3 linked regions of the Neurospora crassa OR74A genome follow. The protein of the gene in region 1 purifies or fractionates together with the protein of each later gene. This does not show direct contact. Links are inferred from orthologs where the notes say so. Each region holds a gene or a part of one and is shown in the gene's direction. Other genes may lie near its edges.

The links.
Region 2: the proteins of stk-18 (region 1) and NCU09208 purify together in Saccharomyces cerevisiae (affinity purification with mass spectrometry; 7 studies listed by BioGRID, with this or other methods). This does not show direct contact. The link is inferred for Neurospora crassa OR74A from reciprocal best matches to the Saccharomyces cerevisiae genes TRA1 and SPT8.
Region 3: the proteins of stk-18 (region 1) and NCU02375 purify together in Saccharomyces cerevisiae (affinity purification with mass spectrometry; 8 studies listed by BioGRID, with this or other methods). This does not show direct contact. The link is inferred for Neurospora crassa OR74A from reciprocal best matches to the Saccharomyces cerevisiae genes TRA1 and UBP8.

Annotation. Positions count from the first base shown.
Region 1 is NC_026505.1:3,820,420-3,827,736, reverse strand, and holds the end of stk-18 (histone acetylase complex subunit Paf400), read left to right. Parts: coding exon 1-3,983; intron 3,984-4,049; coding exon 4,050-4,742; 3' UTR 4,743-5,031; downstream 5,032-7,317. Other genes in the region: NCU01378 (acetoacetyl-CoA synthase), read left to right, coding at 6,232-6,342, 6,408-7,317. UniProt on the Saccharomyces cerevisiae protein: Essential scaffold subunit of the transcription coactivator SAGA complex. SAGA acts as a general cofactor required for essentially all RNA polymerase II transcription.
Region 2 is NC_026501.1:5,838,139-5,846,007, forward strand, and holds NCU09208 (transcription factor SPT8), read left to right. Parts: upstream 1-3,829; 5' UTR 3,830-4,003; coding exon 4,004-6,112; 3' UTR 6,113-6,682; downstream 6,683-7,869. Other genes in the region: NCU09207 (hypothetical protein), read left to right, coding at 394-982, 1,054-1,113, 1,192-3,239; NCU09209 (galactose oxidase), read right to left, coding at 7,497-7,540, 7,610-7,869. UniProt on the Saccharomyces cerevisiae protein: Component of the transcription coactivator SAGA complex. SAGA acts as a general cofactor required for essentially all RNA polymerase II transcription. At the promoters, SAGA is required for transcription pre-initiation complex (PIC) recruitment.
Region 3 is NC_026507.1:2,709,528-2,717,735, forward strand, and holds NCU02375 (ubiquitin carboxyl-terminal hydrolase 2), read left to right. Parts: upstream 1-4,168; 5' UTR 4,169-4,309; intron 4,310-4,400; 5' UTR 4,401-4,734; coding exon 4,735-4,810; intron 4,811-4,866; coding exon 4,867-5,103; intron 5,104-5,169; coding exon 5,170-5,283; intron 5,284-5,390; coding exon 5,391-6,199; intron 6,200-6,293; coding exon 6,294-6,524; intron 6,525-6,611; coding exon 6,612-6,713; 3' UTR 6,714-7,082; downstream 7,083-8,208. Other genes in the region: NCU02376 (metallo-beta-lactamase domain-containing protein), read right to left, coding at 2,115-3,167; rpn-9 (proteasome regulatory particle subunit), read right to left, coding at 7,186-8,063, 8,148-8,208. UniProt on the Saccharomyces cerevisiae protein: Histone deubiquitinating enzyme component of the transcription coactivator SAGA complex. SAGA acts as a general cofactor required for essentially all RNA polymerase II transcription.

The DNA of each region.
Region 1 (7,317 bases):
CGTTGGCACAGGGTGGCATCCCCCGACCACAGCCAGACAATGCCAATGCTGCAACCGAAATGAACGCATACGACCTTGAGATACAGACTGGGCTGATCATCAAGGCCATTGAGACTGTATCCCTTCGTATGGACATTCTCGGGGACAACCGGAGACCTTTCCTGAGCGTCCTCGCCACTATTGTGGAAAAGTCACTGCACACCGCTCTGTGTGAAAAGATCCTTGACATGGTTGAGGGATGGGTATTCCGCTCTGAGGGAACGTGGCCAACTCTGAAGGAAAAGACAGCCGTTCTTTCCAAGATGATCACGTTTGAGCACAGGCAAGATCCAACCATGCTCATGAAATTCCTCAACCTTGTTCTACGCATTTATGAGGACCCCAAAATCACACGGACTGAACTCACCGTGCGAATGGAGCACGCGTTCCTCATAGGAACGAGAGCTCAGGATGTGGATATGCGCACCCGCTTCATGGCCATCTTCGATAAGAGTCTCTCTAGGACTGCCAGTGCTAGATTGGCATATGTTATTTTGTCTCAGAACTGGGATACGCTAGCCGATTCATTCTGGCTGGCGCAGGCAATCCAGCTTCTTTTCGGAGGAGTGGATATGAATCTTCCCATTCAGCTACACCAGGACGATTTCCGTACCTTGTCAGCCTCTCAACTCATTGGAAGCTATGCCAAAGATACCAGAGAACCAGCCTTGATCAGCGATGATAAATACGAGGCGTTCATGGCAAGCCATCGCCGCTTTATTGCCGAGCTTGGGGACATCAAGGCGCGAGACATCCTTGAGCCTTTGACCCAGCTGCAACATATTGATAACAATCTGTCCAATGATATCTGGGTTGTTCTTTTCCCAATGTTCTGGTCCGCGACTTTGAAGGAGGATAGACCTGAGCTTCAGCGTGGCCTTGTCACCCTTCTCACCAAGGATTACCATTCTAGACAGATGGACAAGCGGCCAAACGTGGTTCAGTCCCTCCTTGCTGGAGCAGCCAAAGCTTTCCCAGAGTGCAGGCTACCACCCCATGTTCTCAAGTTTGAGGCTAAGACCTTTGACGCGTGGTACACAGCTCTCTGCCAGTTGGAGACCGCTGCCATCAAGCCAGGAGACGACTCAGCGATCGTCAAGGAAAGCAACCTCGACGCACTGGTGGATCTATATGCGTCTCTTGGTGAGGAAGATCTTTTCTTTGGCACATGGCGTCGTCGGTGCCAGTTTGTCGAGACCAACGCAGCGCTATCGTACGAGCAGAATGGCATGTGGGACAAAGCCCAAAAGATGTACGAAGCAGCCCAGATAAAAGCGCGGACGGGCGTCATTCCTTTCTCCGAGGGCGAATACATGTTGTGGGAGGATCACTGGGTTCTTTGCGCCCAGAAGCTCCAGCAATGGGACATTCTCCAGGAGTTTGCTAAGCATGAGAATATGCAAGACCTGCTGTTGGAGTCTATCTGGCGCAACACTGAGTACTGGCAAAACCAAGAGAACAGGGAGCAACTGGACAATCACATCAAGGGCCTGATGGATGCGCCTACCCCGCGCAGAAGCTTTTTCCAGGCCTTCATGTCGTTGTTAAAATATCACAACAAGCAAGAGAGTCTTCAGGACTTTAACCGCGTTGTTGACGAGGCGATCCAACTTTCCATCCGGAAATGGCACCACCTTCCTAAGCGTCTCACCACAGCGCACATCCCGATCTTGCAAAACTTCCAGCAGTTGGTTGAGCTTCATGATGCTAGTGTGATCTGCCAGAGTCTTTCCGCAACCAACTCGAACAACCTCGATGCACGGTCCGGTGAGCTTAAGCTGCTCCTCGGCTCATGGCGGGATCGTCTTCCTAATACGTGGGATGATATTGTCGCATGGCAAGACCTGGTCACATGGAGACAACACGTCTTTGGTCTCATCAACAACACATATCTTCAACTCTTGCCCCAACAAGGAGGACAAAGCGCTGGTGGTGCTTCGTTCGCGTACCGTGGGTTCCACGAAACTGCTTGGATTATCAATAGATTCGCGCATGTTGCCCGCAAGCATGGCCTCCACGAAGTGTGCATCAACCAACTCAGCCGCATCTACACCTTGCCGAACATCGAGATTCAAGAGGCCTTCCTCAAGCTGAGGGAGCAGGCCAAGTGCCACTATCAGAACCCAGAAGAGCTGCAAAATGGGCTGGAGGTCATTAACAACACCAATCTCGGCTACTTTACAGGTCAGCAAAAGGCTGAATTCTTCACCCTCAAGGGCATGTTCCTGGAGAAGCTTGGTCAAAAAGACGAGGTTGATACAGCTTACGGCATGGCACTTTCGCACGACATCTCGGCCCCTAAGGCGTGGGCAGAATGGGGCTACTTCAACGACAGAAAGTTCAGGGAAAACCCGGCTGATGTGCTTGCCGCCAAGCAGGCCCTTACATGCTACCTGCAAGCCGTGTCAAGCTATAAGAATCACAAGTCACGGAAGCTCATTGCACGGATTCTGTGGCTTTTGAGTCTCGATGACGCCAACAACACCATCTCGAGCGGGTTCGACGACTTTAAGGGCGAGACACCGACATGGTATTGGATTACGTACATCCCTCAGCTGCTCACCGGACTCAATCACAAGGAGGCACCGAGACTCCAGGTCGTCCTGAGCAAGATTGCTAAAAGCTACCCTCAGGCGCTTTACTTCCTGCTCCGAACCAGCCGCGAAGATATGCTGCAAATCAAGAAGGCTCAGGAGAATAAGGAGCGTCTGAGACAGCAACAGCAGCAACGAGCTCAAAGCGCAGCCGCAAACGCCAACAGGGCAAGTGCTACTCCGGGCCAGCCTACTCCTGCTGCTACGGCTACGGCTACTCCCAAGCCCGAAGGTGACTCGCGACCTGCCACCGCTACTGGCGATGCTGCTGGACAGATCAAGCCTGAAGTCAAGGCTGAGGGTGCAGTCAATGGTGTTCCTGTGGCACCTGGTCAAGGCAGCGTTCCTCCGCCAAACCCTGCTCAAGTCGCGGCAGGCCATCACGCTGCGGGTGCAGTCCCTGGTGCGCAGCCACAGGCCGTCCAGAAGAGGCCACCTTGGGAACTTACCGATGAGATCATGAGCATGTTGAAGACGGCGTTCCCGCTCCTGGCGCTGTCCATGGAGACCATGGTGGATCAGATCCAGAAGCATTTCAAGTGCCCACCTGACGAAGACGCATACAGACTCATTGTTGCACTCCTTAACGACGGCCTGTCATATGTCAGTCGTATGCCGACTTCGTATGCCAGAGACGTCAAGCTTCCAGTCGCAACCGAGGCAAATATAACACGTTTTGCTGAGACGATACTGCCGACTCACATCCGAGGTACATTTGAACAAGAGTTTGTTAAGGCCAAACCCACCATGTATGAGTATATCCACAAACTCCGGAAATGGCGCGACAAGTTTGAAGAGAAGCTGGATCGCCGTCGCACAAGCATGCCTTTGGAGAACTTCTCTCACTATACGCCACATCTTAGCGAGTTCCGGTATCAGAAGTTCGACGAGGTCGAGATTCCAGGTCAATATTTGCAGCATAAGGACAAGAATCAGGACTTTATCCGTATCGACAGGTTCCTGCCCAATGTTGATCTCGTCCGCACTTCCAATGTGTCGCATCGCCGCCTGAAGATCCGCGGCCATGATGGTAGTGTTCATTCGTTTGCTGTTCAGCATCCTGCGGCGCGACAGTCTCGTCGCGAAGAGCGCCTTCTTCAGCTCTTCAGACAGCTCAATCAGACCTTGAGCCACAAGAAGGAGAGTCGCAGGCGTGATCTCCAGTTCACACTGCCCTTAATGGTACCTCTTGCTCCTCATATCAGGATTATTCAAGAGGATACGTCGTATATCACTCTCCAGGGCATTTACGAGGACCATTGCCGCAGGTCGGGTGTACACAAGGATGAGCCATTCCTCTTTACGATGGAGAAATTGCGCGGGCTCATGGATGGAAAGCTGCCGAACGCGGTAAGTAGTCGCATGGTCCCCATGGATAAAACAGATGAGAGCAGCAATACTGACATGTCGATGCAGAAGTTATCTGAACAGGGGCAGAATGCGGCGGCTCGTCTTGAAGTGCTCAACGCAATTCAGGAGAAGTGGGTGCCGCACACACTGGTGCTGCAGTATTTCCAGGCTATCTTCCCCGACTTTGCCGAGTTCTGGCTCTTCAGGCGTCGCTTCTCGTACCAGCTCGCTGCGCTCACGTTCATGACGTACATCTTGCATATCGACAAGCGGTACCCGCACAAGTTCAACATCGCGCGCGGCTCAGGTAACATCTGGGGCTCGGAGCTCACGGCTCTCATGGCGGCCAACAAGCCCTACTTCAGCAACACAGAGCCGGTGCCCTTCCGTCTCACGCCCAACCTCCAGACGCTCATGGGCCCGCTTGCGCTCGAGGGCATCTTTACCGTTTCCATGATGGCGATCGCGCGCTGTCTGACGGACCCGGAGTTCCAGCTCGAGCACGCGCTGACGCTGTTTGTCCGTGATGAGATGATCTTTTGGTTCACGAGCAGTCACAGGCCGCTGAACCTGTCGGACAATCAGCTGAGAGAGACGGTGCAGGCGAACAGCGAGATGATTGTCAAGCGGGCAGCATCGCTGGCTCAGGCGCCGGCGGGCAACTTGCCGGCGTATCAGACGATCATCGATCTGATTGCGAAGGCGGTCAGTCCGTTGAATCTGGCGCAGTGTGAGGCGTTGTGGATGCCGTATCTGTGATGGAGGGGTGGAGGTTTGAATGGTAGTTTGAGTCGCTGAAAGTGTGTTTCATTATGAGGAAAAGATTTTACAGGAACGTTGGAGTTTGTATGCTAGGAAAGGAGGACAGAGCACAGGGTGTATGTGGTAATGATGGGTTGTATCTGCATTCATGACGGTTATTGTATGGAGCGCAAAGTTTGCATTGTTCTTGGTGTTAAGAGGAGTAGAAAAGTGATCAGTTAGCAGCAATGATTCAGATACACAAGGCCTACGGGCTGTTTATGAAATGTTTGGGCTTGTGAGACTGTGAAATAAAGTTGCCGTGGCTTGAGCTTATCCTCGATGAGCTCGTCGGTGCAACATTCGGGTGCGTAACGGATTAAATCACATGCTTGCTCGCCCTCATCCCAAACCCCGACACAGCCGCATCACGGAGTTGGCGATATCGGAGTTTGGAGCAATGGCACCACCCCCTGACCCCAATTCCAACCAAGTCCGTCCTGCATGCACACAGTTCAGCACAGTAAAAGCAAACAAACAGAGCACTAAGCACATAAGCTTCCCGAGCCGAGGCCCAACCAGGGCGGGCAGTCGGTGATACTTTCGGGAACTTGCCAGCAGTCCGAGGGGGATCAGCGCTTTCCAGCCGCACTAGATACCAAGCTAAAAGCGGTAAAAGGTTCCCCGGTTCCCCGCATTAGCAGCCATTAGGAACGATTGACCTCTTTTACTCAGAGGCACCCGCAGGACTGGACCGTCACTCAGCCAGGACTTCCACTTGACCTCGCAGAAACTCCAGCAGAGAAGGGACGGGGCCTCTCACAAGACACCAGCTCACCAACTATGTCCTCCACCGCACACTTTGCCATTGGCTTGTTGGTTCCTCACCTACGTCGAAAAAGCGGTCTCAGATCACGGGCACCAGAGTACCTGCATTCCACACTATATACATACTACCAATACTGCTACTGATCGACGTTCGTCATCGCATTTGGCGCGTGTCGCGGTGAAGGAGGTTGAAACGAACTAGGTAAGGTAGCTAACCTAGCTGACTGTTTCGCCGCATTGGTCGACTTGGACGACTTGGACGACTTGGATTGTTTGACTGTGGGCCAGAAGCAGTCAAGAGTTTGTTGGCTAAGGAAAAGTGGAAAGTGGATATATAGTTGAAGAACGACAGCCGTCCGGTTCCCTCTTGGTAAGAGATTCCTTCCAAGTGATTTTGTTTTTTTTCTTTCTTTTCCCCCATTTCGTAACATATTTTGCCTTCGATACCATTTACCAAAAGATGTCGGTGGCAGCGGAATTGCCGTTATCGGCTTTGTCGTCGTCGGCTGCGACTGGTCCTACTGCCGTGATGAACTCTGCGGATGTCGAGATGGGAGTTAACACTGAAGTTACAGGGGTTACAGGGGTTGCAGAAGTTGTTACGGAAGTCCTCAGCACAGAAACCATCACAAACTCAAAAGTCGAGGACACATTGGAAGACGAAATCAACGAAATCATCATGCGCCCAGACGTGATCCCGAGGAAACTCTGGGAGCACCCGGACCCGGAGAGCACGCCGATGTGGCGGTTCTTGCAGAATGTGAATAAGCGACATGGACTTGACATGAAGGTCAGTATTCCATGTCCGCCATTTGAACCCATTGTACCCCGGTATGTTAACAATATTCCTTTTAGACCTTTTCGGAGCTCCATGAATACTCCCTCCGAAACCGCTCGCAATTCTGGGCAGACGTCTGGGAGGAAGCCAACTATATCCACGAAGGCACCTACAGCAGAGTAGTCGACGAATCCGCCCCCATTGACGCCGTTCCCATCTGGTTCGAGGGCGTCAAGCTCAGCTACGCCGAGAACGTGCTCTACTCCCGACCCAAGGGCAGCTCTTCAAGTCAAATCCGATCCACAGTAGGGAAGGAAGACGACAAGGTAGCCGTGACCGAGGTGCGTGAAGGCGCAAGCGAAACCCGCGATGCCACCTACGGCGAGCTGCGCGAGCGAGCAGGGAGACTAGCCGCCGCGATGAAGGCGCGTGGAGTCAAGAAGGGCGACATTGTGGTCATTGTGGGTTCCAACAGCATCGACACACTGCTCGTCTGGCTGGCCACCTCGTGGCTGGGCGCCATCTTCAGCAGCAGCTCTACCGACATGGGCACCAAGGGCATCCTGCAGCGGACGGTGCAAGTTAATCCCAAGCTGCTTTTTATGGACGACGCAGCCCTCTACAACGGCAAGATCGTCGACCTCCGGGAAAAGATGGCCGAAGTGGTCGAGGGCCTCAAAGACTGCAGCAACTTTGACAACATAGTCTCCATCCGACGCTTCTCCGAAGCCCGCGACATCTCGGCCGTTCCAAAAGCCATCACCTGGGACGACTTTCTTGCTTCCGCAGGCGCCACGCCCGCCATCCCGGACTTCGTCCGCATCCCCTTCCACGAACCCTACCTGATCTGCTACTCCTCCGGCACCACCGGAACGCCCAAAGCCATCGTACACTCCCTCGGCGGCGTGATGATCTCTTACTTCAAAGAAGGCGGGCTCCACGAAGGTCTGACGGGCTCCGACGTAACCCTCCAATACACCACCACAG
Region 2 (7,869 bases), on another chromosome or scaffold:
CGAGACCGTTGAAAAGACGTGTATCTTCCGTTCTCCCGTATCTCTTCATTTTCTCTTCTTTCTTCTGCCCACATGATGCATCGCAGAAAGCTGCTGTGGAGAGAGCTCTAGACAGAGCTATCAGGCCGAGAGAACAAAGAACGAAAACCGCAGAAATCGGCAGTGTTGTGTGACGCCGGAAGAATTGGAGTTTCAAGCACTTGTGGTGTCTCGGGCATCGACTCGAACGGAAGCACACCTCTTTAGGTTCACGACGGGGTTACACAAAACGCGCGACGTCTTATCACGACCTCCAACACGGCGGCCTGTAAACAACAGGGCAGTTCAAAGACAAGAAAGAACAAGGGCGAGATATCCAAATCAGGGCCGGAAAGCTGGGACGAAGCAGACGGGATGGATGTTCCAACAACAGGCCCCGCCCGTGCAGATACAAACCCTGACCCACCGGACGCTGCCATCATCCCAACTTCAAAACAACAGGATAATCCTCGTCATGAAGAGACAGCAACAGAGACGACCGCCGAGTCCAGCCTGTTTTCTAAGGCCATTCTCTGGTCGCAATCACAGTGGCAGTCACAACTGACGACGACGCGCGGCAGGTCCGGGAGTAGCCCACAACGACCGCCATCCTCCTCCGGTTCCGTATCTCCGCACCGAATAACACCAAGCGCAACATCACCACCGCCGCCTCTCGCTATCCATACCGGCGATCCCAGCAGCACCCACGACGGCAACGTGAATTACTATCATCATCCACTTTCAACCAGATTCGACGGTCGCGGCCATTACAGCCACCGTCGCCTACCTTCGTGTTTTCATGACACCACTTTCGGCCTTACTCAGCCAGACATCAACACCACCATGTCGCTTCTCATAGTAGTCGCCAAGGCTGCCCAGTTCACCGATGCTTTTCTGACGGCGCTGTTGGTCCCTCTTATTCCCACCATCCTGGAAACCAGAGCGGGAGTACACCACAAGCATGGTATGTTAAGTTCAAGCAACTGCGCCTTTTCACAGACAGCAGTGATGAACTAACATCTTTTTGCTTTCCAGTGCAGTTTTGGACATCGATCCTTATCTCAACATATGGTGGCACATTCGCAGCGGTATCTTGTAAGTCACCAACCTCCATCCGGCGACACACACGCAAGCTTCGTTCAGGTTTTATTGACACTTTTGACTGCTGTTCAGCATCCGTCCCCTACCTTACCCGCCAAGGCCCTCTTCTTTGGGTCCTCCTGTTCGGCGGGCTTGCTCTAGCGGCGGGCTCCTTTGTCCTGCTTCAATTCTACCGCAATCTATTCTTCCTCGTCCTCTCACGCGCCCTACACGGTATCGCAGGTGTGGCCATTGCGAGAGCCAGCTCCAGCTTGGTTGCCGGTGTGGTCTTGACTGCCAGCGAAGGCGATGATGAAGAGGGCGGAGGCGACGACGAAACTGCTGCTGTCGACGTGCTGACATGGATGACACCGGCGTTTATCCAGAATTTCGCCATCTCGGTCGGCCCGGTGTCTGCAGGATTGCTGCATGGTTTCTTTGGCGGGCAGGCGGCGGTCTTTACACTGGCTTATGCCGTTATTGCTTTGACGGTTGTGTTTGGAAGTCTCGTAGCGGTGTTACTGCCGCCGGGCAGATATCCCAGGGCAAGAGGCGATCGACACGAGGCAGAGGGTCTCCTTGCCTCTCGTGAAGATTCGCGAAACTATGGAACTCTCTCCTCCGGCGGGGGGTATTCCTCGAGAGAAGTGTCTCCCTGCCATGTCTCCAACCGATCGATCAGACGGCCCAGCCTGGCGGCCTCCGAAGTTACTGGTACTCAAGAGGGAGTGCTGACGCCCTCCATGTTGCGACTTGTTGTGCCCATGGGAGGATACATCGCACTTAGCCTGATCGGATCAGCGCTACAAAGTGTGCTACCGATTTTCGTGCAGCGAACATTCGAATGGCCCATGGCTGCCAGCGGCTTCGTCTTCGTCCCCCTTTCGGCTCCGGCGGCTTTGGTCGGCCTCTTAACGACCCCGCTTACGGCACGGTACGCGCAGGCTTCTCGATTGCTAACATCATTCGGTTTCATTGCGGCTGCTCCAGCTTTCACTTGTCTAGGCGGGTTGACCCAGAACAAGATGACCGTTCAGACGGCACTACTGGCTACCCTTGGCTGGATCTCTGTAGCCTTCGGTCTCTGCGGCGAGCCGTTAGTGAAGGAGATTCTCGATGCAGTCGCCGGTGGAGAGGATGTACTTGGAACGGGTGGCCTGTCAACTGGCGCAGCAAAGGCTGAAAGTCTACCCAGTCTCGCCAATGCCTGGGGCAGTTTCGTTGGCCCACTTCTTGTTGTAGCCGTTATGGGAGTTTCGGGCTGGGGAGGGCTGACTACAACGCTTTCATGGGTGTGCGGGTGCGCAGGACTAACCGCATTATTCTTCTTGGGCGGGCTGCTCACCGAAGCCAATTTTGAGAGCGCCGGAACATCGTCAGCAGATTCGTCTGACGAGGAGGCGGCACCTTTGCTGGACAAGGGCGATCCGCCTGACAGGTCGCCTTACTACCAAGATCCACATACAAGCCATAGTGGAGGTCTTGACAAGCTTCATCACGAAATTCTCCATGCACCTAAAACGGAGCGGAGCAACTTGACATCGGGATCGAGCAGCTCCTCCACGAGCAAGACTCGTCGCCGACAATTTAGCGTAGGCAACTTTTCCCTCGCAACCACCACGCAGTCCACGCTGCCACCGGGCGAAGGTTTTCAGCCAGACGGCTCTACAGCCTCCCAACTCCGCTTTCAAGCATCCTTCGAGACCGACTTACCGATCCCGGCACGTCTCCAGAACCCCGAGCATCGCCTCCTTATGAAGATGGTTCCTCACCTGCCGGAGACAGATCCGCTCCTGGTTACTGGAAACCGCTACGCGGTTGATCAATCCTCAAAACAGTCAAACAAGAACGGCGACGAAGAATCCGTGGACTCTAAAAGCAAGAAGCACGTAGTGGTATTCGAAGAGGGCGCGGCGCCGCCTGAGCTGCTCCAAAGCCGACCACATTACATCGTAGCCATCAATCGCGATGGTTCGCCTGAGGTGTTGTCAAAGGCTGATCCGAAGTTACATGATCTTGCAATGCACATCTCGGAGGAGACGACAGACGAAGCGGCCGAGCAAGAGTTGCCAGAGGGCTCGAGGCGGTATGTGGTAGTGGTGCTGAACGAAGGTGAGACGGGGCTGGAACTGACTGATTGAGTTTGGATAATGGAGGCCAGGCAACGGCTAGGCCCAGTCATATTCGGAAGAGAAGAGAAGAGAAGAGAAGAGAAGAGAAGAAAAGAAAAGAGAAGTATACATACCCGAGGCGGAGTTGGATAAGGCCCTCATTTGTTTCTAGGATTCGGTTTCGCTAGTACGTTTGCATTGTTTGCTCGGGGTTTGATTTCTTTTGGATGTATCGCAATCCATGTTGGATTTCCTTGTCATTATCTTGCCACCTTGTCTTCATTTCCGTATTTCCATGACGTCGTTCTGTTTGCATTATGTTAGCCAGCAAGATATCTTGAACTGATTCCAGGAGGTTGACATGGAAAGCACCTTGATGGCCCTGCATGTAATTGGACAATGCGTGGTCGCTGCATGCCCGCCAAACAAAAACCACCTCAGGCACATTGAACCGCCAACAGCTCAAGGACTTGACCCTGTTATGTTTGGCAATCGGCGGGGGATGCGGGGTGTTAGCGTTCCGGGCCTGCTGATCCGCTAAAGCTTAACACTGAGGTTGAACCTTATCAATGCCTGCCGCAGTTGCATGTAGTGTAGCTTCGATTCGGGAACCTTCAGGACTGGGAACGTCTTCCTCCCGTTGTCATCTCTTTCCGGTTGCTTTCCCCCACAACTTTCCCACTTTCTTCTCTTGGGTACAGCAGTCACACGATATCGAATACAATACCCTTATATGCCTGGCATAACCACGTGTATAGTTGAACTCCTCTACGGAACCACTACCAACACGGACAATGGACGAAGACGATCGAGAATACGGAAGCTCCGACAATGAGCAGGACGAGCTCATGGAGGACGCTGATGATGCCGAGAACGACACCTACGGCGAAGACTTTAATGAAGACGAAGAGGAAGACCAGGAAGACCAAGACGAGCCCGAGCGAGACCCAGAACCCGAACCGGAAGCAGAACCCTTCGACGAATCCCAAGCACAAAACGCCCACGACCCAAACGCCGCCGACCAAACCACGTCCCAGACAGCCAGACGCGTCTCCGCGACACCTTCAGGCTCGGGATCAGGGGCAAAATGGCGACCAACGATAAGACCAGAGTACATTACGGCTTCCACCTACGACATCGTTCCTACCATGGCCGCCCCACAAGCCACCAGCATCAATGCCATAGCCGTCACCCCGGACATGCGCTACTGGTTGACGGGCGGATCCGACGGCTACATTCGAAAGTTTGACGGCATAGCCACAATCAATGGCAAGCAACAACTCACTGTCGCCCAGAAGCATCCGTTTGTTGACAGTGTTGTCAAGTCCGGAGTGCTCATGAGCTATTGGGACAACCAGGAGTGGACAGGACAGAACACTAGAGATGACGACAGGATTCTGTCTCCGGTATACAGTCTAGCGGTGCACCGTCAGGCTTTGTGGGCTCTGAGTGGTCTAGAAAGCGGTGGCATCAACTTACAGAGCGTGAGGCACGACGAGGGAAAGAGGATACACTGCCTGCGGACGAACGGGCACACTAATGCTGTTAGCGTGCTACAACTGGCGCCTGATGAGAAGAGTGTGCTGAGTGGGAGTTGGGACAAGACGGTGCTGGACTGGGACCTCAACGATGGCTCGGTTATACGGCGGTTCGAGGGCAGCGGTGGACAAATATCGGCCATTGAGTTACGACCGACTTCGGGTGCTCCGATCCCAGCCGAGGCGAGCGATCCCGAGATCATCACGGACACTTTCGAGAGTAACAACTCGAAGCCAGTTTTGAACGGCTTTTTCTCTAATGGCGCGCATGGCGATATGGATACGACGGGGCAATCCAATGCGAACGACGGCGCCGTGAATGATGTCCCGTCACCAGAACATGAGTCGCTGTTCGGTAGTCCTGCAGGGTCACTCTTCGGGGACAACGAAACAATAGGCGGTGGGAATGCCTTTGGGGATGATGACGACGACAATGAGTTTTCCAGAGCTATGGGCATGGAACTCGAGGAGGAACAGAAAAACCAAGGGCACACCGACGATTTCCCAATGGGGGATACCGACACAATAATGGACACGAACACTGCTCAGGGACCCGGGCTCAATGCCATCGAGCCAGCCGAGAACGGGACCATCAACATGGACACATTTAACGGCGACTCTAGTCACACTATGTCAGACTTCGGACACCAACCAGCCACGAACCCCGAGCAACAAACCCAGCAACATCAGGAACAACAACAACCACCACGAGACCAGAACCCCATCCACCCAACTGAGCACGAACCTATCCCCTTCGAGCCCATCGCCCCAGCCTCCCCCAGCATGGTTGTCAACACAGCCCCTCCTCCTGCCCCGCAAAACGACGACACCCAAACGGCCCCCAACATCTTCATGGCCGCCTCCATTGACGGCACCATCCGTATCTGGGACCGACGGGTCCCCGACCCCGTCGCTCGTATCGGCAACCGGCGCGGCGTCCCGCCCTGGTGCATGGGCGCCTGCTGGTCCGTCGATGGCAACTGGATCTATGCCGGCCGACGTAACGGCACGGTCGAAGAATTCAGTATCCACAAGGCGCGCGGCGGGTGGCAGCCCGAGCGCACCCTGAAATTTCCCAACGGCAGCGGAGCCGTCAGTTGCGTGCGGCCCATGGCCAACGGGCGACATATTATCTGCGCGTCGCACGACATTTTGCGGTTGTGGGACTTGCAGGGCGAGACGCAAGCGACGAAGCATTCCAAAGTGCCTTTTGTGGTTGTCCCCGGTCCCCCCAAGGCGGGCGTCATTTCAAGTCTGTATATCGATCCCACGAGCAGGATTATGATCTCGGCGGCGGGGACCAGGGGGTGGGATGGTACGTCGACGGAGGTGTTGATTGGGTACGAGATTTCACCGGTGAAGTAAGAGGACAACGACGAGTGTCGCGAGAAGGAAAGTTGGCAGAAAAGATCACAAAGGAAGTTGGAAAACGCTGTGGTATTGGGTTGTCTTCTTTTCTTCGGTCCTTTCATTATTATCGCCTTCTTCCTAATTTGCCGGACATCCTCTCTTTCTACTACGTTTTGCTTCTTGACTTCGCTGAGGAGGGTTGAAGTTTTCAACAAGTCAGTCAGTCAGTCCACAGTAAGCTAAATGGATCATGGGCCACAAGACCTATGTGTATTCCGTCGCCTTTTTCCTTTTCTGTCAGGTTGAAATTCTTCTTGTCTAGTTATACTCATCCTGTCTGGGCTGGCGTTCTATGTTTATTTTGGTAGCGGTTGTTTATACCGGTCCCATAGCTAAGTATGCAGCGGTACCTGTATCTTTTGATAAAAGCGTACCAGAAACCCAGATCTCATCACCCACATCATCCACTCCACCACTCCAAGTTCAACAACAGGGACCAAGAAGCAAAAGACGGTCAGGATTAGCGACTGAAAGAGAGACAGGAACTACAAAGCAAGATTGCACCGCACCTTGAAATAATAATTGAAAAAAAAAAAAAAAAAAATTAATTCCAATACTTGGAATTGGCTGGTCGTCGCCGACCCAACTACTAGTCAGGCTCTTCTCTCTCGTTGGATTGGCGACGTCCTTTACATCAAGCCTAATGTTAGCGTGCCACACCAACATTTCGTCTCTTACGTCTAAGGATCAAATGCAGCTTTGATGCTACAATGGAAGACATGCCAAAAAGGCAACCAGAGGGTTCACTCCGGGTACGGATTGTTTTAATATCCCATATACGTACAGTAGATACCCTAGTAAATGCAACCCCCAGAAAATGCAAGTCCATACAAAGGTACTTAGTGATTGCAACTGGGCTGGTGGCCCGGATTCAATTATCATGTAACTGGGACCTTAGTAATTGCAAAATGCCATGTAAACGCAACTTTTCCCGATCCTCTCCAAAGAGCCTGGATTAGTTGCATTTACTAGGGTATCTACTGTACCAGGGGGCGGGGGTGCTGACACGGGCCCCCACATTTCTCCTCAAAACAACAACATCACACACATGTTTGACCAAAGTAGACAACAACCCAAACGCCTATCCTTGTATAGTCCCTACAACTAACATTTTTTCCGTTACATATCTCATTCATCATGAAAGACCGCGGCGGAGCACCACCGCTCAACAATCAAGTCCCATCCGAGGACGCCCAAGCGACCTAACAAGTCACCAGCAACCAGCACGCTGGATACGACCAGGAGATGGAGGTTGACTCCCAATCCGTTCCTGACCAAAGTTTGATGCATCTACAAACTTCTTCATGTCTCGTCATCTCACACCACAGAACAACAACAATCATTTCGCCAACTCAATTTGGAACCTCATCCGCGACGAGGGATCTGCGCACTCAGTGTTAGCTTCCAACTTTTGGCAAAATATTCACTCAGGGAAGGGAATTCCATGCTCACATTGCCTCTGCTCATCGCTCGCTCCTCCAATTGTCTTCACGTTGGATTTGATCATAATTGTCTTCGCAATGCTGGGGGTGCCCGCCTCGTCCATGACAAACAGCATCCAGTACCCAGGGATGACGATGCCGGGGTCATTGGGGATCTGCACATGGTAGCGACCGAACATCGGCACACGCCTCCCGAGAGGTAGGGGAACACGACGCTGGTCGGTGTTGACGGTGTGGGTAGCGCTGCAGAGGCGGACCAAGGAGGCAGAT
Region 3 (8,208 bases), on another chromosome or scaffold:
ACTGCACTGTGATAACTCCACCCACCTGCTGCCCACTCGGCAAGGCTACCCAACATCGCTTAAAATTCCCAGCCTGCTGTTTTTTTTTTGTGTGTCCTTTTTTTTCTTGTTTTATTCCCGGTTGGCTCGTTCATAAATCCCTTTCGAGATCGTACGAAGATGGCCTCTCATGATCCAAACAAAACCGTTATCGTCTGATTGCCAGTATCTACCCCGCATACGCATCGGTTCCTTTCGGCCAGCAAGGGACCGGAGCTGCCTCTTTGACAGTTATGCGCATCTTCGGTGATGTATTACACTACAGATGACATGAGCCGTCGGCAACGTCAATCGCTTATCTCATCCCATGGTCCCTGTCAGCAACAAGGCGCGAACATGCTTCCCTTTTCGTGGAGTGTGTATGTATGCCGCTTATATCGGAGTTTGGGAGCCATTACTTCCGCTGAATAACAGAAATGATGTATCAGTGACATTGGTCAGTCTCATGATTGGTGTGGTTCCTGGATCGACAGTACCTATCAACGTGTAAAATTCAGCCACATGGGCACTGTCCCCTAGCGTCCTTGCAGTGGTTTGTAAGTGTATCGCACGAGATCCAACTAGAATCCACATGTGGGCGGACGTCTCGGAAATCCAGGAAAACGACGAAGCAGAAAACCTTTTTTTTTCCTTTTTTTTTTTTTTTTCTCTCTCTCCGTCCCGCGATGTGGGGACGCCCGAGATTATGCCATGGCTCGCGCTGAAGAGTCGTACATACATAACTCCCAAAAGACATTACGGCTTCGCGAGAGCCATTAGGTACTCAGTTACTGAGACCGCGTTGATCAACAAATGAATCTACGTACTGGTCATAGACTCGCGAATCAATCACATGCTGACAGATATGTTTACTGGCTTCGGCACATCGCAAAACAACAAAACTATTTGTATTGTAGGTTCCATACCTACTATGTACACAAACACAAAACATGGGATGGCAAAACGTTTCTGTTTCGAACGCATAAACAAAACGGGAGTATTCGGAATCCACTAACGGCCGGGCCGGAGCGGTCCTCTCTCATGCTCGGGTTGGGATAACTCGGGTGGCACGACGGGGGATCCATACTGGAGTGCAAAGAGACGGGAACCCACCCTTGCAGAAACTCGGTGAGACCGCATCGCCGGGATCCATCGAATGCCGATGAGCCAGCCCTGTGTTCCATTTTCTGTGGCAGACAGACCGACGTCCCGGTTCCGAGAGCCGAGCCGAACCACAACACCGTGCGCCGGCTGGCACCAACCTGAACGGCCGGCATGAGATTCGAGCGGTATGAGATGTGTATTTTGGCACTGAAAGCCGTCCCACACGGGCGGTCGTCGGTTGTCATCTGAGGCTCTGCTCCTGCGATGAAAGCGAGCTACCCCAAAGCGGCATCCACTCAGCTCCGTCATGGACTGACGTCACGGGCACGCTAGGGCTGAATGATGGTGGTTTCGGTTGTCACTGTAGTGCACATATGGTTCAACTACACGCCCACTCGTTGTACACTACTTACATACAACATAGCACCCGACTCCATCCGTACCAACCTAAGAGCCGGAAATGTGCATTGCACACGAACCGCGTAAACAGTCGTTTCCTGTGCTCCAGGCGCTCCAGCTAGGGACGGGGTAACAATGTCTTGAAACCTAGTCTAGTATATACTATGTACGCTGGACCGTCCCCGGGCCGTTTCGCTTACTAGGGTTGACTGGGTGCTGGCTACTACACAAGGATCCGTACGAAAACGGGAACCTCGTCAGGCGAACTTGGTGTCATGAACTGGCGCGCCAGTCATAAATCCACTGCACCGTGCATGCTGTCAAGGCTACGGGCGATCATTGTGTACATACATAGTACAGTGCCCCAAAAGGATTCGAGTGCAATGCACATCACACTCGCGGCTCTGGGGAGAGAGCGAAGCGACAAGCGACAAACGGCACCAGTTCCGAACCCTGAATGGGTTCTACTCCACCCATCACTATCATCATCATCATCATCATCACCCTCATACATACATCATGCGCAATTCAGCCCAAGAACCGGCTGGCTGGTTCTTCCCACGTTGTGACCCTGAGCGCCATGCGCCATCTTCTCACAGGGCCGATCGATCAGTCAGCCGCCATCGATCGCCACCATCTGCCGTCGTCACCTTCCCCTCTTTCCTCAATTTATAAAGGATCTGCGTCACCCCTCCAGCGGCCGGTATATGCAAAGTTTCCGGTACGCCCTGATAGATAACCTTGACCAACTCCATCGGCGTCCATCCATCTTCACTGTCTCTCTTTAACGTTGCAATAACTTGGTCCTCCCTCTGCTGCCGATGCCTAATATATTCTCCAATCTTGCCCGGCCCGTCCTCCACCACCGGTCCGTGGCCCGGATACCCCTTCCCCTTAAACAGCCCTCGCATTTGCTCCAGACTGTTCAGGTACACCCCCAGATCCTCGTACACGGCCGTCCCGTGGCCCAGCACATTGTCTCCCGTGAAGAGCGCGTCCTCCTCGGCCAGGTGGAGAACCATGTGGTCGACCGTGTGGCCTGGGGTGTGCACCGCTTTAAGCGTGGCGCCCTCCACGCTGAACTCTTGCCCGTCTTCGATGGGGAGAAGTGGAGTGCCAATTTGCTCGAGCGAGACTGGACTGCCGTGGTAGCCTGGTAGGTAGGTGGGTTGGTTCTTGTAGACTTTGATCTTGCTGTTCCAGTCGAGCAGGTGCCGGATCCCGCCGGTGTGGTCGTGGTGCCAGTGAGTGATGATGGCGGCTGATATGTGAGCTTTCTCGTCGGTGAGGGTCCGTTGTAGGGCGGAGATCCAGGAGCGCTCGCCGGCGCCTGAGTCGACAAGGAGACGCTGGGGGCCGGTGCCGACTAGATAGGTGTTGGTTCCCTGGAGGGTGAATTTGCCGGGGTTGCCGCCGAGGATGCGGATGACAGTTGGGCTGAGGCGGGTGACTTCGGGGAGAGGAGTAATTCGCGGTTGGACTGCAGATGAAGACATGGTGATACTGCGGTTATGCTTGTGATCTGTTTTCAGATGTTGATATGGGATCTTGGAAAGGCGAGATAGCCGAGTATTAAATGATGATGAAGTTCGATACAATGATGGCCTGGTTGAGAGTCCCAGGAGCGGGATGACAGGTGAGGACATCCAGGACCAGGAGTAGTACGGGCAAAAAATGAACGACACACAGGAAGTAGTGACAATTCCGAATGAGAACCTTACTTGGTGTGAAACACGGTGGGATATTGCGTCCTGGTGAGGTGGGAGTACCGCGTATAGAGAGAGAGAGAGCTAGTTAACAGACTGCGGGGTACTGCCGAGCCGAGGCGTCGGCAATGATACCATCGCACATAATCAATGTCCGGCTACCACCCACGCAAGCTCCGAAGATCACCTGGCGAATCGGCCATATGAGCCGGACTCGGGGTGGATGGTTTGCTGGCCGGGCTCGCCAAGTTCAAGTCCGTTGTGAGAACGTGTTGCAAGTGGTGGCCTAAAGAATCCCTTTTCTGTTGATACCACATCTCCCAGGAACGCAACCTTTTTGATGGTGTTTGCGTGCTTGTCCGAATCGCTTCAATTTCTTGACATACTTAGCTATAACTGATGAGTTTAGAGACTGTATCAACGGCTTGTTGTCTGCGTGGATTTTGTCATGACAGGGGCATTTGACACACAGCTACATCATCGGTCACAATGAATCGATACAGACGATAGAGGATACCTCTAGATGTGCTGCCAACCCTTTGGACCATGAAGCACGGAAGAGAGCCGAATCAGCCTCCAGAAAGTTCTGATTTTCTGAAGTCTAGCTTCTCAAATGACGATGGCTCGCGCTGGAGGTTGCCTTGTCGTTGGGAGAATTGATTGTGAAGTGAAATGCAGGCCTGGCAGACACCTCGGTTGAGATGTACAGAGATCCTCAGACTCCGTCTCAGGTACCTCGCTGCACGCTCTGTATGAGTGCTACGGGCCAATCAGACACAACGAAGAGTTACATACCTAGGTACTTATATGCGTTGAAAAGGTTCCACCCTTTGGTTCTGTCCCCTTTCTCGTTATCGATAAGCCTTGCGTAGGTAGCGTTCGATAAGCCGTTCATGTCGCTGCCGTCCATGCAAGTGCAGTTGGCGTCCATTGATTGATTGCCCATGTTGACGCCGCGGAAATCGGATGGAGATTCCAACCCCGAACAACTTCAAACCCATCTTGCTTCGGGAGAACCAACACAACCAGAGAAGATCCCTGTTGCTACTTTACCGGCTTTGTACACGTTGCTTTGATAGACGGTAAGACGGAAATCACCAGCAAATGTTGCCAATAGAAAAAGCGCGACCGTTAATTGACGTGCATCGCTGCTAACAAGTCCTCTTATTCCAGGTACTTGGACCGAACCGCCGGGAACTGTGCTCTTTCCCGAGCGGAACGCGATTTGCCGGCCTCGCCACGACCCTTACAAGCCATCTCAACTGGTGAAAAGCCAGGCTCAATAAAGCCAATTCTGCAGCTAGATTCACCCATTGTTTCGATTCTTACGAGCCGAAAGTCCAGGAACATCATCCCCAGCGTCTGAAGCAACACTCGTCCTCGTTGCTAACCCGGTCACGGACCGCTCCAACCACTGCGGATTCGAACACAGCTCCTCCCCTTCAGAACTACTAGCACACACGGGCTTCACATTTGGGGCTTTCGACGAGCGAACAATCACATCACCATGTCGGCCAACGCTGCGTCCTCCAAGGACCACAAGGTCAAGGAGCCCCAGCCCGGCCAGCCAATGTATGGATGTGGTAAGATGGCCCATTCTTGTCCCTGCTACACGGCCTTATTTTCTAACCTCTTCTAGAGCATGTCGGCCGTCTCTTTAACCAAGATCAAGCGACGATCAACATGTCCATACAACATTACAAGACCATTCTGCGAGCCATCTTCGACATCAACCCTATCCTGTCACACACGGCCAAGGGCGTAGATGGCCAGGTTGTAACATCCATTACCCCAACCTACCTCTGTCTGCAATGCCCCTCGACTCTCACCGACGATGACCTTACAAAACACGGCAACAAAAAATCACATCGCTTCTGTACGTTCGCTGCCTCTGCCAGAAGGAGCCAAATCATGGGGCAAGGAAACTGACAGTTGTAATCAGATGTTGAGTCGAGGAGCGGAGCGGTGTATTGCCAAATGTGTGATGATATTGTGTGGGACCCTACCTTTGAGGATTTGAGGTTAAAGAAGCTCGGCACAGGGTCGTTTTTCGGTAGTATGTTTTTCTGTCCTTTTCTCCGTCTTACCCATGGGGGCTTATGCCCGGTACCTTCTCCTATGTCGATGAGCCTTGGCTGTTACTAATCTGTATTTCTATCACAGGCCGAAAGCGTAAACATGAGGAACTCTTCGCCCCTGATCCCGTAAAAGACGCTCCCCAGTATATATCGACCAACACCACCCTCGCCACCTGCAAGGCTAACGGTCTCCGTGGTATCTATAATGCCGGAGCAACTTGCTATCAAAACGTTGTCCTCCAATCATTCCTCCACAATCCCATACTACGCAACTTCTACCTGAGTGATGGGCATCAGTCAGGCAGTTGCGACACACCCCATTGCCTCAGTTGTGCCATGGACGATATGTTCCAGGAATTTTATGCCAGCGAAACGACGAACGGTTATACCGCCGCAAATATCTTGTCCGGATTCTGGATCAGCGAGAACAAGGCGTTTGAGAACTTGGTAGCCAACAAGGAGCAAGATGCTCATGAGTTTTTCCAGTTCATGGCTGAGGAATTACACGAGAGAAATGGCGACGGCAAGAGACCGGAAATTGGCAGTGAGCATACCTGCAACTGCATCATCCACCAAACATACTACGGAAAGTTACAGACGTCCACAACGTGCCAAAACTGTGGGGGCGTCACCAATCAAGCCCAGAGCTTTTTGGATCTCAGTGTTCCCTTGGAAAATTTGACGCAAAAAAGGGGCAAGAAGAACTTGACGAATGGCGACGGGGTCGCATCGACAAGAACGCAAAACAGCGTGACTCTCCAGGAATGCTTGGACGAAGAATACATCAAATCCGATAAGTGCGAGTATCGGTGTCAGAACTGCAATTCAGTACAGCAAGCAAGAAGACAGACCAGTATCAAGAAATTACCCAACGTTCTTTCTATCCAGCTCAAGGTCAGATTACCGGAATCCTTCCTCATGCACATTCCTTACTGGCCGTTACCGCTGGCTTCGCTTGGAGACAACAGAAGCTGACAGTTGCCAACAGAGGTTCGAGTTCAAACAAGGGCGTAATGATCGTGCCCAGAAGATCGAGACACCTGTCCAGTTTCCTTTACAACTCAACATGCTGCCTTATACGACACGCGCACGAACACAGGATCTCAAAGATAACTACGAGCTACAGCGGTCCTGCACTTACGATCTTCTATGCGTTGTTGTGCACGTTGGCGACATGGATACCGGACACTACATTTCTTATTGCCGGGTTGGCGACCAGGTGAGTCTGACTAGTGAACCATGACACACATCTAGTTCCTGAAGGGTTAGACTTGCTGACCCGCTGCCTTTGGCACATTTATTTAAGTGGTTCGCATTTAACGATCACAAAGTTGAACTGGCCCAGAAGTCTGATGTGCTAAACGCAAAGGCCTATCTTCTCTTTTACATTGTTCGGTCCCTGTCTTGAGCTCGGATAAACGGTGTACGAGTAGGGGCAAGTAAGCAGCAAATATTTTTTTCCTGTGTATGATGTTGTTTCCAGTAAACACGTGCCAGATGGCTCATTTACGTTTTGTACACTACTTGATCTTTTTGCGGCGTTCAAGGAAGCATATTTTGCCGGCGTATTTTGGATTTGCCTTTGTTCATGGAGCGTACATGGAGAGGATTCACATAGACATAACTCAGGCCAAAGCATGGGCCTGGATTTTTAGAGAATGGAGGACGTACGCCGTGGGCGTTGTCATGCGTTATGGGTATTCATATGTATCATGCAAAGTCGGTCTGCCTCATGCAGCGGAATAACATCATGCCTTTAGCTGGCCTTGTTCCCTGATCTAAGCATTAGGTTTACTCCTGTATCTCCAGGTTTGATGCCATCCGTTTGAACGCCCGAATTGTTCCCATCTCCTCACACCGTCCGTAGATTCGTCCACCCTTTAAGCCCAAACATCCTGGCCCACACCCTCGATCCAGTTACCCAGCTTGTCAACACTGGAATCCCACTCTTGCAGCCGTTGCCTCATGTTCTTGATCTGCTGCATGTCCAACACCTTGGGCTGCACCCAGTTGATGTGGGCCACCTCGTCAACCTGGTCGATCGTGCCCCGCAGTAGATCCAAGCTCAGCGCCTTCATGATCAGGTGCTCGATCTCGTCGGGGTGTACCTTGGTCTCGTTCGCAATGGTGGAGAAAGACATGGCGCGGTCATGGGGCGGGCGGCGAAACACGGCCTCGGTCAGCGCCGCCAGATAGATCTTCTCGCGCAGCTGGCGCGTGTGCTGCGCCAGCAGCGGGTCCGAGCTGATGTGGCTGGCCAGTAGGTCGTATGCGGCAAGGTCGCCGCGGTTGAAGGCAAAGAGGAGCTGGTGCAGCCACTTGTGCCGGTCGTCGATGGTGAGGGCGTCGAGGATGGGGTGCAGCAGAAGCTCGCCAAAGTTGTAGATGCTCGAGCTGACGAGGGCCGCGATGGCCAGGTTGTAGGCGCGCTGGCGCTGCTCCTCGAGTGAAAGTGACTTGACGTCGATGCAGGCGAGGTACAGCAGCGCGTTCTTGTAGTAGGAGCCCCAGTCGGACTTGGCTTGGAAGTATTTGGCGTTGGTGTCGTAGAAGGCGGCGTGCACGACCGACTCCACCGAGTCGAAGTTGTCGAGGATTCGCTCGGCCGTGTCCAGGTCCTTGCGCGCGCCGTCAAGGTCGGAGAGGTCGAGCTTCACGCGGGCAACGGCGATCGTGGCGAATACATAGGCGTCTTGAGAGTCTTCGTGGTCGACCTTCTTGACGACGGCTTCCAAAAAGGAGAGGCGCTCTTGGTTGTCTACGGTTTGCGCACCCAGGCGTGGTTAGTGCTAGCTGCCAGATGCATGTTTGGAAGCAGAGGAAATGAAGACCGTCTGCGCACCTCTACATTGTGTGGCGGCCTTGAGAGCAAGATCAACGAGCTTGAGCTGGTTGATCTTGTC